Yarrowia lipolytica: one gene and its partner. The protein of the gene in region 1 purifies or fractionates together with the protein of each later gene. This does not show direct contact. Links are inferred from orthologs where the notes say so. Each region holds a gene or a part of one and is shown in the gene's direction. Other genes may lie near its edges.

The links.
Region 2: the proteins of YALI1_C25829g (region 1) and YALI1_C17680g purify together in Saccharomyces cerevisiae (affinity purification with mass spectrometry, with the first as the bait; 4 studies listed by BioGRID). This does not show direct contact. The link is inferred for Yarrowia lipolytica from reciprocal best matches to the Saccharomyces cerevisiae genes APL3 and APM4.

Annotation. Positions count from the first base shown.
Region 1 is NC_090772.1:2,581,299-2,586,425, forward strand, and holds YALI1_C25829g (uncharacterized protein), read left to right. Parts: upstream 1-1,642; coding exon 1,643-1,748; intron 1,749-1,841; coding exon 1,842-4,603; downstream 4,604-5,127. Other genes in the region: YALI1_C25789g (uncharacterized protein), read left to right, coding at 1-127. UniProt on the Saccharomyces cerevisiae protein: Adaptins are components of the adaptor complexes which link clathrin to receptors in coated vesicles. Clathrin-associated protein complexes are believed to interact with the cytoplasmic tails of membrane proteins, leading to their selection and concentration.
Region 2 is NC_090772.1:1,766,224-1,770,610, reverse strand, and holds YALI1_C17680g (uncharacterized protein), read left to right. Parts: upstream 1-1,694; coding exon 1,695-1,817; intron 1,818-2,574; coding exon 2,575-3,834; downstream 3,835-4,387. Other genes in the region: YALI1_C17700g (uncharacterized protein), read left to right, coding at 588-1,343. UniProt on the Saccharomyces cerevisiae protein: Component of the adaptor complexes which link clathrin to receptors in coated vesicles. Clathrin-associated protein complexes are believed to interact with the cytoplasmic tails of membrane proteins, leading to their selection and concentration.

The DNA of each region.
Region 1 (5,127 bases):
GGTTGGCTACCTAAAGACTCTGCGATCCATGACCCAGGGTCGGGGTAGCTTCACAATGGAGGTGGATCAGTACGAGGCAGTTACTCCCGACAAGATCCAGCCCATTGTCGACAGCATTTTTGCTTAGTCATGGAATGAGCTGTTTGAGGACAGAGACATAGTCGATTGGTGTATATAGAGATTGGATTGTATATATGAATTTTTAATAGGAACAAAAAAACCTGTGAGTACACAACTACGCTTATGTACTTGTACAATATTCAAAAAAAACACGCAAAAAAAACCATACCGTCGCAATCCGAGAGGACAAAAAGTTGTTGATCAGCTTTGAGAAGCCACCGGAATCAAACCGGCTAATGTTCCTCCACTGTCATTAACATGACATGGACAGGAATTGAACCTGCAACCCTTCGATTACAACCAAGTTGACTGGAGTCGAAAGCTCTACCATTGAGCCACCACATCAACAACTTTAAAAACGGTGTTTTTTTGGGTCTGGTCTACGTTGTATGATTAGTAATATGGGAAAACGGTGGGAAAAAAAAGAGGTTGAAATGAGATTTTGAGCAGATATAGATGTCCAAATGGTGCCAAATTACTCTTCTATTGCCTTAATAATTGGTATTTGTTCCCTTTTAACGTTCTAGCGATCACCGTTAAGAAACAAATGTACTTCCTTGCTTCAATGATAAAGGCAGTCCAGCATCGGCTTTTTTTCCCTAACATGTGTCGATCGACTGATACCGTTGTATTATGACGGCTATCCAACACATATCTTATCTTTCGGGATGAATATTATCGTTATACGTGCCTTGAGTATCTGTAAACTACTGTATATAGTCAAGTTGTTGCGTTCATACGCTCAGTTCATGTCTCAAATTGCGCCTCTGACATGTGCTACGGGCGTGTTAACGCTGCGTCTTTATTCCGGCTGCGTTAGCTCCGCCTGGCTCATGTATAGAATGAGCGAGTACGAGAATGGAGGGGTTGTGGACCGACCGTGAGTGGAGAAACATGTGTCACGTGAGTCAAGCTGCCGAGCTTGGTACGACTACGAGTGCAAGTGCGACAAGTCGCGGCTGGAATGCTCCAAATATATTGGTGCACATTTTTCCACCTTGCTCATGCATGTCAGAGTTACTTATGTGAGGCGGTTATCTCCATCTGGGCCGCTACAAGACGGAGTGAAACAGCGTCGACGCAAGAATTGGGAGCTGGAAAACTTTGGAGCGAATTCTAACCAACTGGCAGTCGCCAGAAACGCGTCGAAACACCAGACAGGTGTCAAATCTGGTTCTCAAAAGACACATGGCTGGCTTTGACCAACCTTCAACTTTATCAGACGGGCCCATCCGAAGCAAGTTTAGGATAGAGCAAGGAGGGCGGGGGATATGTTAAACGGGGTGTTGGGGACACTTTTGACGGAATTGGAGCGGATAGAAGTAATCTCCATAGCTCAATGAATTGATTCCGACTCTTGCGAGCAAAATCCGCCCGCTACTTCCCGCAGTAACGGGCCCCCTTATTTTCACCCCTGCGTAAGGCACGTGATGGAAATTCGCGCTTAGGTTAACGTTGCCGAGCTGCGTGTCGTGTAAATAGAGAGAGCTGAAATTATCTCACCACGGCCTGTTCAACCACCATGGAGGAAATCAAAAACCTGAAAAACATTGGGCGAAAAATCCGGCCCAAGGAGAGCCAGCAGAAGCTCGGCGAGCTGATTCGGCCCAAAGAGAAGGATATGAAGGGTGAGTAGGCGTCCGTAGACGCTGAGAGGGTAGGAAGATATTGAGAACAATATATCAAGACCTGGATGTCAGTCATTCGCCATATTAACCCAGGATTGACACAATTCATTGCGGATCTGAGAAATGCACGGGCTCGGGAAATGGAAGAGAAACGAGTGAACCAGGAGCTGGCCAACATCCGACAAAAGTTCACGGACCCCAATCTCAGCGGCTACCAAAAGAAAAAGTACGTGGGCAAGCTGCTGTACATTTACATTTTGGGCTACAAGGTGGACTTTGGCCACCTGGAGTGTGTCAAGCTCATCAACTCGACGAAATTGAGCGAGAAACAAATGGGATACATTGCGCTGTCGGTGCTCATCAATGAGGATCACGAACTGGTGCATATGGTGATCAACTCTGTGCAGAAAGACCTGGATGGTATGGACGAGATGCACAACTGTCTGGCGCTTCATCTGGTGGCTACGGTGGGTAGCGAGATGATGGGCAGCGAGCTAAACCACGACGTGTACAAACTGCTGATTTCGCCTACCAGTTCGACCTTTGTGAGGAAGAAGGCTTCTTTGGCGCTGCTACGACTGTTCCGAAAGAACCCCAATATTGTGGAGCCCCAATGGTACGACCGAATCATTGCTCTGATTGACGATCCGGACCTTGGAGTGGCTACCTCAGTCTGTTCTCTGGCTATTGCTTTGGTTCAACACGACCCAGAGGCCTGTGCAACTTCCCATATCCGAGTAGTCAGACGACTCTACGACCTGTGTGTCAACAACCAGGCGCCCAGAGACTATATTTATTACGGAGTCCAGTCGCCGTGGTTGCTAGTGAAGATGCTCAAGCTCCTGCAATATTACCCTCCTCCGGATGCTGCAAACGAGACTACCACCGACATGCTGCGCCAGACTGTGCTCGAAACTGTGGATAAGTGCTCCCAACCCGCCCAGAGCTCGCAACAAAGTAACGCCCAGCATGCCGTCTTGTTTGAGGCTATCAACCTGTGTATTCATATGGACATGGCTCCCGATGCAAAGCTGCTGTCTATCCTAGGCGATTTTATTTCGTCAAAGGAGACAAACTTAAGATACCTGGCCCTCACAGCCCTGGCCCGTCTGGCTGCTCGATACGAGGTCTCGTCGCAAATGTCGGAAAACAGTGCACTTCCTGTCAAAAAGTTTCTCATTACGGTGCTTGGAAACCTCAAGGACAAGGACATTTCTATCCGACGAAAGTCTCTGGATGTGCTCTACTGTGTCTGTGACTCGTCCAACGTCAAGACTATCGTCGCCGAGCTGCTTAGATACCTTGTTACTGCTGACTTCGCCATCAGAGAAGAAATGGTCATCAAGATTGCCGTTCTGGTTGAAAAATATGCAACTGAATACAAGTGGTATGTGGACATTTCGCTCAAGCTGATTGCTGTTGCCGGGGCACACGTGTCCGAAGAAGTTTGGCAGCGAGTCGTTCAGATTGTCGTCAACAACGAGTCTCTCCAGCAGTACGCCAGTCAGACTCTCAACACTTATCTCGCGCAGCCCCAGTGTCAGGAATGCATGGTCAAGACCGGAGCATACGTCTTGGGCGAGTATGGAGACCTGCTAACAGAAGTCCAGCCCATCCAGCTCTTCTACAACCTGCATTCGCATTTCAGACAGGTGTCTGCGCCCACCAAGGCTATGTTGCTGTCTACCTACATCAAGCTGGCTAACATGTTCCCAGACATCAAACCGCATATCTCACGAGTTCTCACGGCGTACACTTCCAGTGCGGACTCTGAGATTCAACAACGAGCCATTGAGTACGTGTCAATCATCCAGAAACCGGAGCTTCTGAAGACTATCTGCGATGAGATGCCTCCATTCGAAGGCCGAACGTCTGCTTTGCTTTCTAGATTGCATGCTCGAGAACTTACCTCTCAGGACCAGCGTTCCTGGGGTCTGGGCAAGTCTGGAAAGTCCGAGGTTGACGCCATTCGGTCCAAGAGCATCATGCGAAAGAACAGCCAGATTTCTTCGTCCAACAGATCGGATTCTGCGTCTCCCTTTGGTGACGAAAATAACGTGACTACCGGAAACAAGACCACCCCCCCTCCCCCTCCTTCAAGAGGCGTTTCCCACTCCGGCCTGTCGCCCAACTGGGATCTGGGCTTCTACGATCTGTGCATCAAGGACGAAGGCACCTTCTTCAAGGACCCTGTCATGCAGGTGGGTCTCAAGTCCGAATACAGAAAGAACCTGGGTTGTGTAATTCTGTACTTTGTCAACAACTCGGGCACCAAGATCTCATCTCTGTCGTGTGAAATCACAAACAAGGAGCCTGACAACCTGACGGTGTCCACCAAGAACTTCCCGGACTCGTCCATCGAGCCCAACAAGCAGACCCAGCAGGTTATTATCCTCAACTGCCACAAACCCTTCACCTCGTCGCCCACCATCAAGATTACGTACATGGCTGGAACCCTCAAGGTGCTGCATCTCAAGCTGCCTATTGTCATTTCCAAGTTCATGACCGCCAGCCAGGTGTCCACAGGTGACTTCCAGAACCGATGGAACCAGCTGGCAGACAAGGAAAGTCGGCGTATCTTCAAGCCCCAGGATATCTCCAAGTCTGCCAACCCTGCTCATAACCTCAAGGTCATGAAGGGCTTTGGATGGTCCATTGATGCTCAGCAGAGCACTCGGGACGCCATCTACGGCGCAGGAGTACTCTACACATCTGTCAGTGGCAACTTTGGACTGCTGGGGTGTCTTCAAAAGCTGCAGGGCAATCAGTTTAGCATCACCATTCGAGGCACCAATGCGGTCTTGCCCGCCATTGTGGGCAAGTGTATGAGCGATTATTACCAGGACATTATGTAGGCATAGGGAAATAACACAGCGTAATATAGAATGAATGAATGAATGATTTATTAATGATATCGTGAGTGTTATACCTGGAAGCAGTGGTTGTATGTACTGCTGTGTCACATGGCCTAACCGTCCCAGAAGAGGTTGAATTCCCGGCACTGGCACTGGGATGAACTGAACAGGAGGAGTACATCGGAGTGCACATTCTGTCAGGGCTGTACAAGTACAGTACACCCATACTTAGTTACTGTACTTTGACTCTATTTGTACTCGTACTACCGATGTATGTACTTGCAGTCAAGTGAGCAGGGGCTCATTGAGTGTTTCTACTGTACGGGTACCGCACATACAGTACAATTGACAATTGCCCCAGAAACACCCCAACACCACCACTATGAAGTGTGCTCCATCTACCTCGGCTACTGGTAACTGCCATGCATCTAAGCGTCGTGGAGCACTAATTTCACAGCAGCAAGTCGCTTGTCTTACTCGTGTTGAGTGAACACCCTCATCACCTGTCTCAGCTCGAAAGCTAA
Region 2 (4,387 bases), about 820 kb from region 1:
AAAAAAAAAAAAAAAAAAAAAAAACATTGCAATTACCAGATTTGCCGGATCCAACCAACCCTTCCTCAAATCCGCACTTATTACCCTCCAAAGGCTCGAATCGAACACACTGTCAGTCGACGCGCATCTTTCCTGAACTGTCAAAACAAGGTTTCTTTGTCATGTGATCTGCCACTGACTAAACACTTTCTTCAAGTCAGCAGTACTACACGAAACGTGCAACGAGACTTGCAACTTGACGCCGGCTCCTTAAAGCCCCATGTTTCATGCCGCTTTATCCACTACGCTGCCCGGCTTCGAACTGGCAACTGCGCGGAGGCTGGTCTGCCCTGCGTCTAACATGCACAACAGTGGTATCGGCAGGCAACCTGCCTAATTGGGAGAAACATCAACATTCCCGACCAACGTCAAACATAGCAAAACAGAGATCCGCACACGACTGCAACATTGTCTTAGACTGCCCCAAAACATCACCCATCGGTACCAAACTTGCTACATACCATTTGGTCATACCATTTGAACACACCATTTGAACACACCATTTGGACACACTTGTACGCAGCACCCACAGCGATTGTCCACCAGCCATGGACAGACCTTTCATCATGGAGAGCTCTCTTTCCACGGCGATTACAAACACAACGTCGTCGTCGCCCAAGCGGATATACGCCGGTCTGCAGCAAATCCGATCGATTTTCAAGAGTCTGGTTCGAGCTGCTCGACAGACGTCCAACATTGATCTATGCTCCAACTTCGAGGAGTACTCGCAGTTGCAGGAGTCGTTCGAGTATAATGTGGCATCTAACCTCGTGACGACCATTGAACGCATGCTTACCAGCGCAGACACCATCCAGCATCTCCCCTTTGCCATCGATCTCCTTCGAGGAGCTCTTTTGCTGCATCAACCCAGTCGGCGCATCTTTGCCACCGAAAACAACATGGGCCTGTTCATCAAGCTGCTTGGAACCCCCCAGGCCGTTGACGTGACGATTCGAGCGCTGGTCGCTTGTTTGCTGCGTGAAGTGCCCAACATCCGACTGTTTGAACACATGGGAGGCCTGGCCACCATCTGCACGCTGTTCAAGCGAAAGGAGACTCCCAAGGACGTGAAGCTCAAGATCCTCGAGTTTCTCTTCTTCTACCTCATCCCCGAGACTCAGACCAGGCAGAACGTGGACAAATCCAAGACTCTGTACCGACAGACCATGTTGAGAGACAATGTGTACCGCCTGACGACCGAGGACAAGCAGATCATGCTAGGCAAGTATCTCAGTAACGTCAACGGACTTGTTCGAGAGCTGCATGAGAGCAAGCCCTTTGGCGATATGATTCTTGAGTGGTGAGTCATGATTATACTAACGGACTAAGTAAGTTGAATAGATGGATATGGGAAATGTGAGTGGCCATGAATCTGGGATATCCAAGATACCATGGCCCGTTGCCTGTCGACAACACTAGAACATGCATTAGGTGCATTGTATTGTACATCTGTATTTCATTTGTAATTTCAAATCACGTGAAAACAATAGAACAAATCTAGAGATTTTCCTTCACATAACCTACATGCTTAATCATCAAGCTTAATCATCAAGCTTAATCATCAAGCTTAGTCACTATGCTTAGTCAGACACGCAGGGGTGCATATCGTGCATGCGCTAATTGTCACGAGCTTACGTGTTGCCCGCCATCTGACCATGATTTCGGCTATTCTACTGTACAACCAGAAGGGCGAGGTGCTGATCTCGCGTCTCTACCGCGACGGGTTGCGGAGAAGCATTGCCGATGTCTTTCGAATTCAGGTCATTAGTAATCCCGAGGTGAGTACCGAAGGGAGGAGGATTGGAGCACGAAATTGATGGGGGCGACTGGGCGACTGAGGGAATGTTGCAATGGAAGGCTCATGGCCGTGTATGAGTTGCTATGATGAAAATTGCGACCATCACGCGACCAGTGACCGTGTGGTGACGCGAATGCTCAGGAGATTGAGCTGGAGGGATTAATAGAGGTTGACTCTGACTGCTAACAGCTGGATAGGTGTTGACAGGGAAAGTGTGGTCATTATGATTGTTTTATGATGGTCTGTTCTCTTTTGTGCCATGTCTATGCTCTCTTAGAGGACGATGAAGGACGTGTGTGAGAGAGGACATTCTTCTTGAGAGGAAAACCGCCATTGGGGCAGAGATTGAGTCCCTTTACTACGCCTTGCAACCATACGGTGATATCGATTCTACAACTGCTACTAAGCTCACGAAGCACAAGCTATACTGTTTCAGCAACGTATCTGACTTGGGCATAGTTCTGCTCATCTCACGACTAGTTCAACTAGCTCAAAAACTCAGCGTGATCCCTCATGATTCGATTTCTTCTGGCTCCGCTTCCTTATGCGACACCGAGACAACGAGTGACATCTACAGCAAAACCAGATATATGTCCAGCTGCTACCACTCTTTCAGCCACCCTACCTTTATATGGAGTGCTCTCAGTCGTATCTCATGCTTCGTTCCGGCATGAAGATCGATTCTCACCCATTTCAACTCGCGATTACAGCCACCATCCCTTTCACTACTAACCCAGGTACGATCACCGATTCTTACCATTGGTTCAACCTCCTTCATGCACTGCAAGTCCGAGGACATGTATGTCGTTGCGGTGAACCGGTCGAACGTGGATGCCGGCATGGTGTTTGAGTTCCTCTACAAGATTGTCGCCCTCGGCAAATCCTACTTTGGCTCTTTCAACGAGCAGAGCGTCAAGGAGAACTTCACTCTGGTCTACGAACTGCTTGACGAGATGATCGACTTTGGCCTTCCCCAAAACACAGAGATGGATATGCTGAAGCAGTATATTCAGACGGAGGCCAAGCGAAGTGGCAGCGAGTCTGGCTCCAGCGCCGTGTCTGTGTCTGTTCCCGACGCCCTGAGTAGATCGAAATCCATGAAGGCTCTCAAACGGTCCAAGACCATCACCTCGCAAATCACAGGTGCCACTCCCTGGAGACGAGACAACGTCAAGCATCACCGAAACGAAATGTTCGTGGATGTTGTCGAGAAGGTCAACCTACTCATTTCGCCCACCGGCTCTGTGCTTGTTGCTAATGTCGATGGAACCATTCACATGAAGTCGCAACTCAGTGGAGTGCCAGAATGCACTTTTGGACTGAACGATACTCTTCGTCTCGACCAGGAGCACGACGAGGACGACCCTAGATCGTCCAAGCGAGGTGGCAGACGTGGCTCCACTGCCCCCACCGGCTCTGTGGGTCTACAGGACTGTGTTTTCCACCACTGTGTCAAGCTGAATAACTTTGACCACGACCGGTCGATCAATTTTGTGCCTCCAGATGGTGAATTTGAGCTCATGCATTACAAGTGCGTGGAGAACCTAAGCATCCCGTTCAAGGTGGTCCCCAGTGTGCAGATTGTCGGAAAGTCACGAGTCGAATACGATATCGTTATCAAGGCGAACTTCCCCAAGCAGCAGACAGCTACCAACGTCGTCATCAACATTCCCACGCCTCGAAACGCGGCAAAAACCACCATCAACGCATCCAACGGCAAGGCGAAGTACGACTCGTCGACCAACCAGATTGTGTGGAAGGTGTCGCGTATCAGTGGAGGCTCTGAGATTTCTCTCCGAGCCACAGCCGAACTCACATTTACCACGGAGAAGACGCCGTGGAACAAGCCGCCCATTTCGATGGACTTTGAAATCACCATGATCACGTGCTCCGGTCTGGTGGTGAGGTACCTCAAGGTGTTTGAGAAGAGCAATTACAACACCGTTAAGTGGGTACGATACTTGATGAAGGGTGGAAGCTACGAGATTAGATTTTGATGGAGGAGTATGGATGTAATTTAACAAAATGGACAATATGGATTGACTGACGTGAAGGAGTGGAGTAATACTGGCACTCTGGCGAATAGTTGACGACCGACGATGTGCGATACATCTACCTACAATTCACGTAGGCCATCGCGCCTAGACAAAACAGCTGCATTGGACAGTCAGCAACAGAAACGACACTAACGTTCAGAAAATTTGCACCGAAACTTGGAGAAAACCAGAGCACCTGATATCTAGTTTCGCTGGCTGAATGCCCAGCACTTTTTGGGCCAGTTTCAGCATTGTGATCCTTGCTTTCACTTCCCCTACTTCCTTGTCTTCCGGTGGTACCTACAGTCAGCTTTCGGGAGCGCCGAGTCGTTCGCCGCTGGGTTTCGGTCAGAGTGAGGGTTGGAAGTTGCAACAGATTCTCGTCCCCACAATTCTCCAGTTATTCAATGATCTGGAGTGAGTGTACCCCGTGTTGTCTTCATCCCTCGCCAGTTACTCGAGAGTAGACACCATTGAGATGGTCTTTACCAGGTGAACCAGAGAAGACCTAACC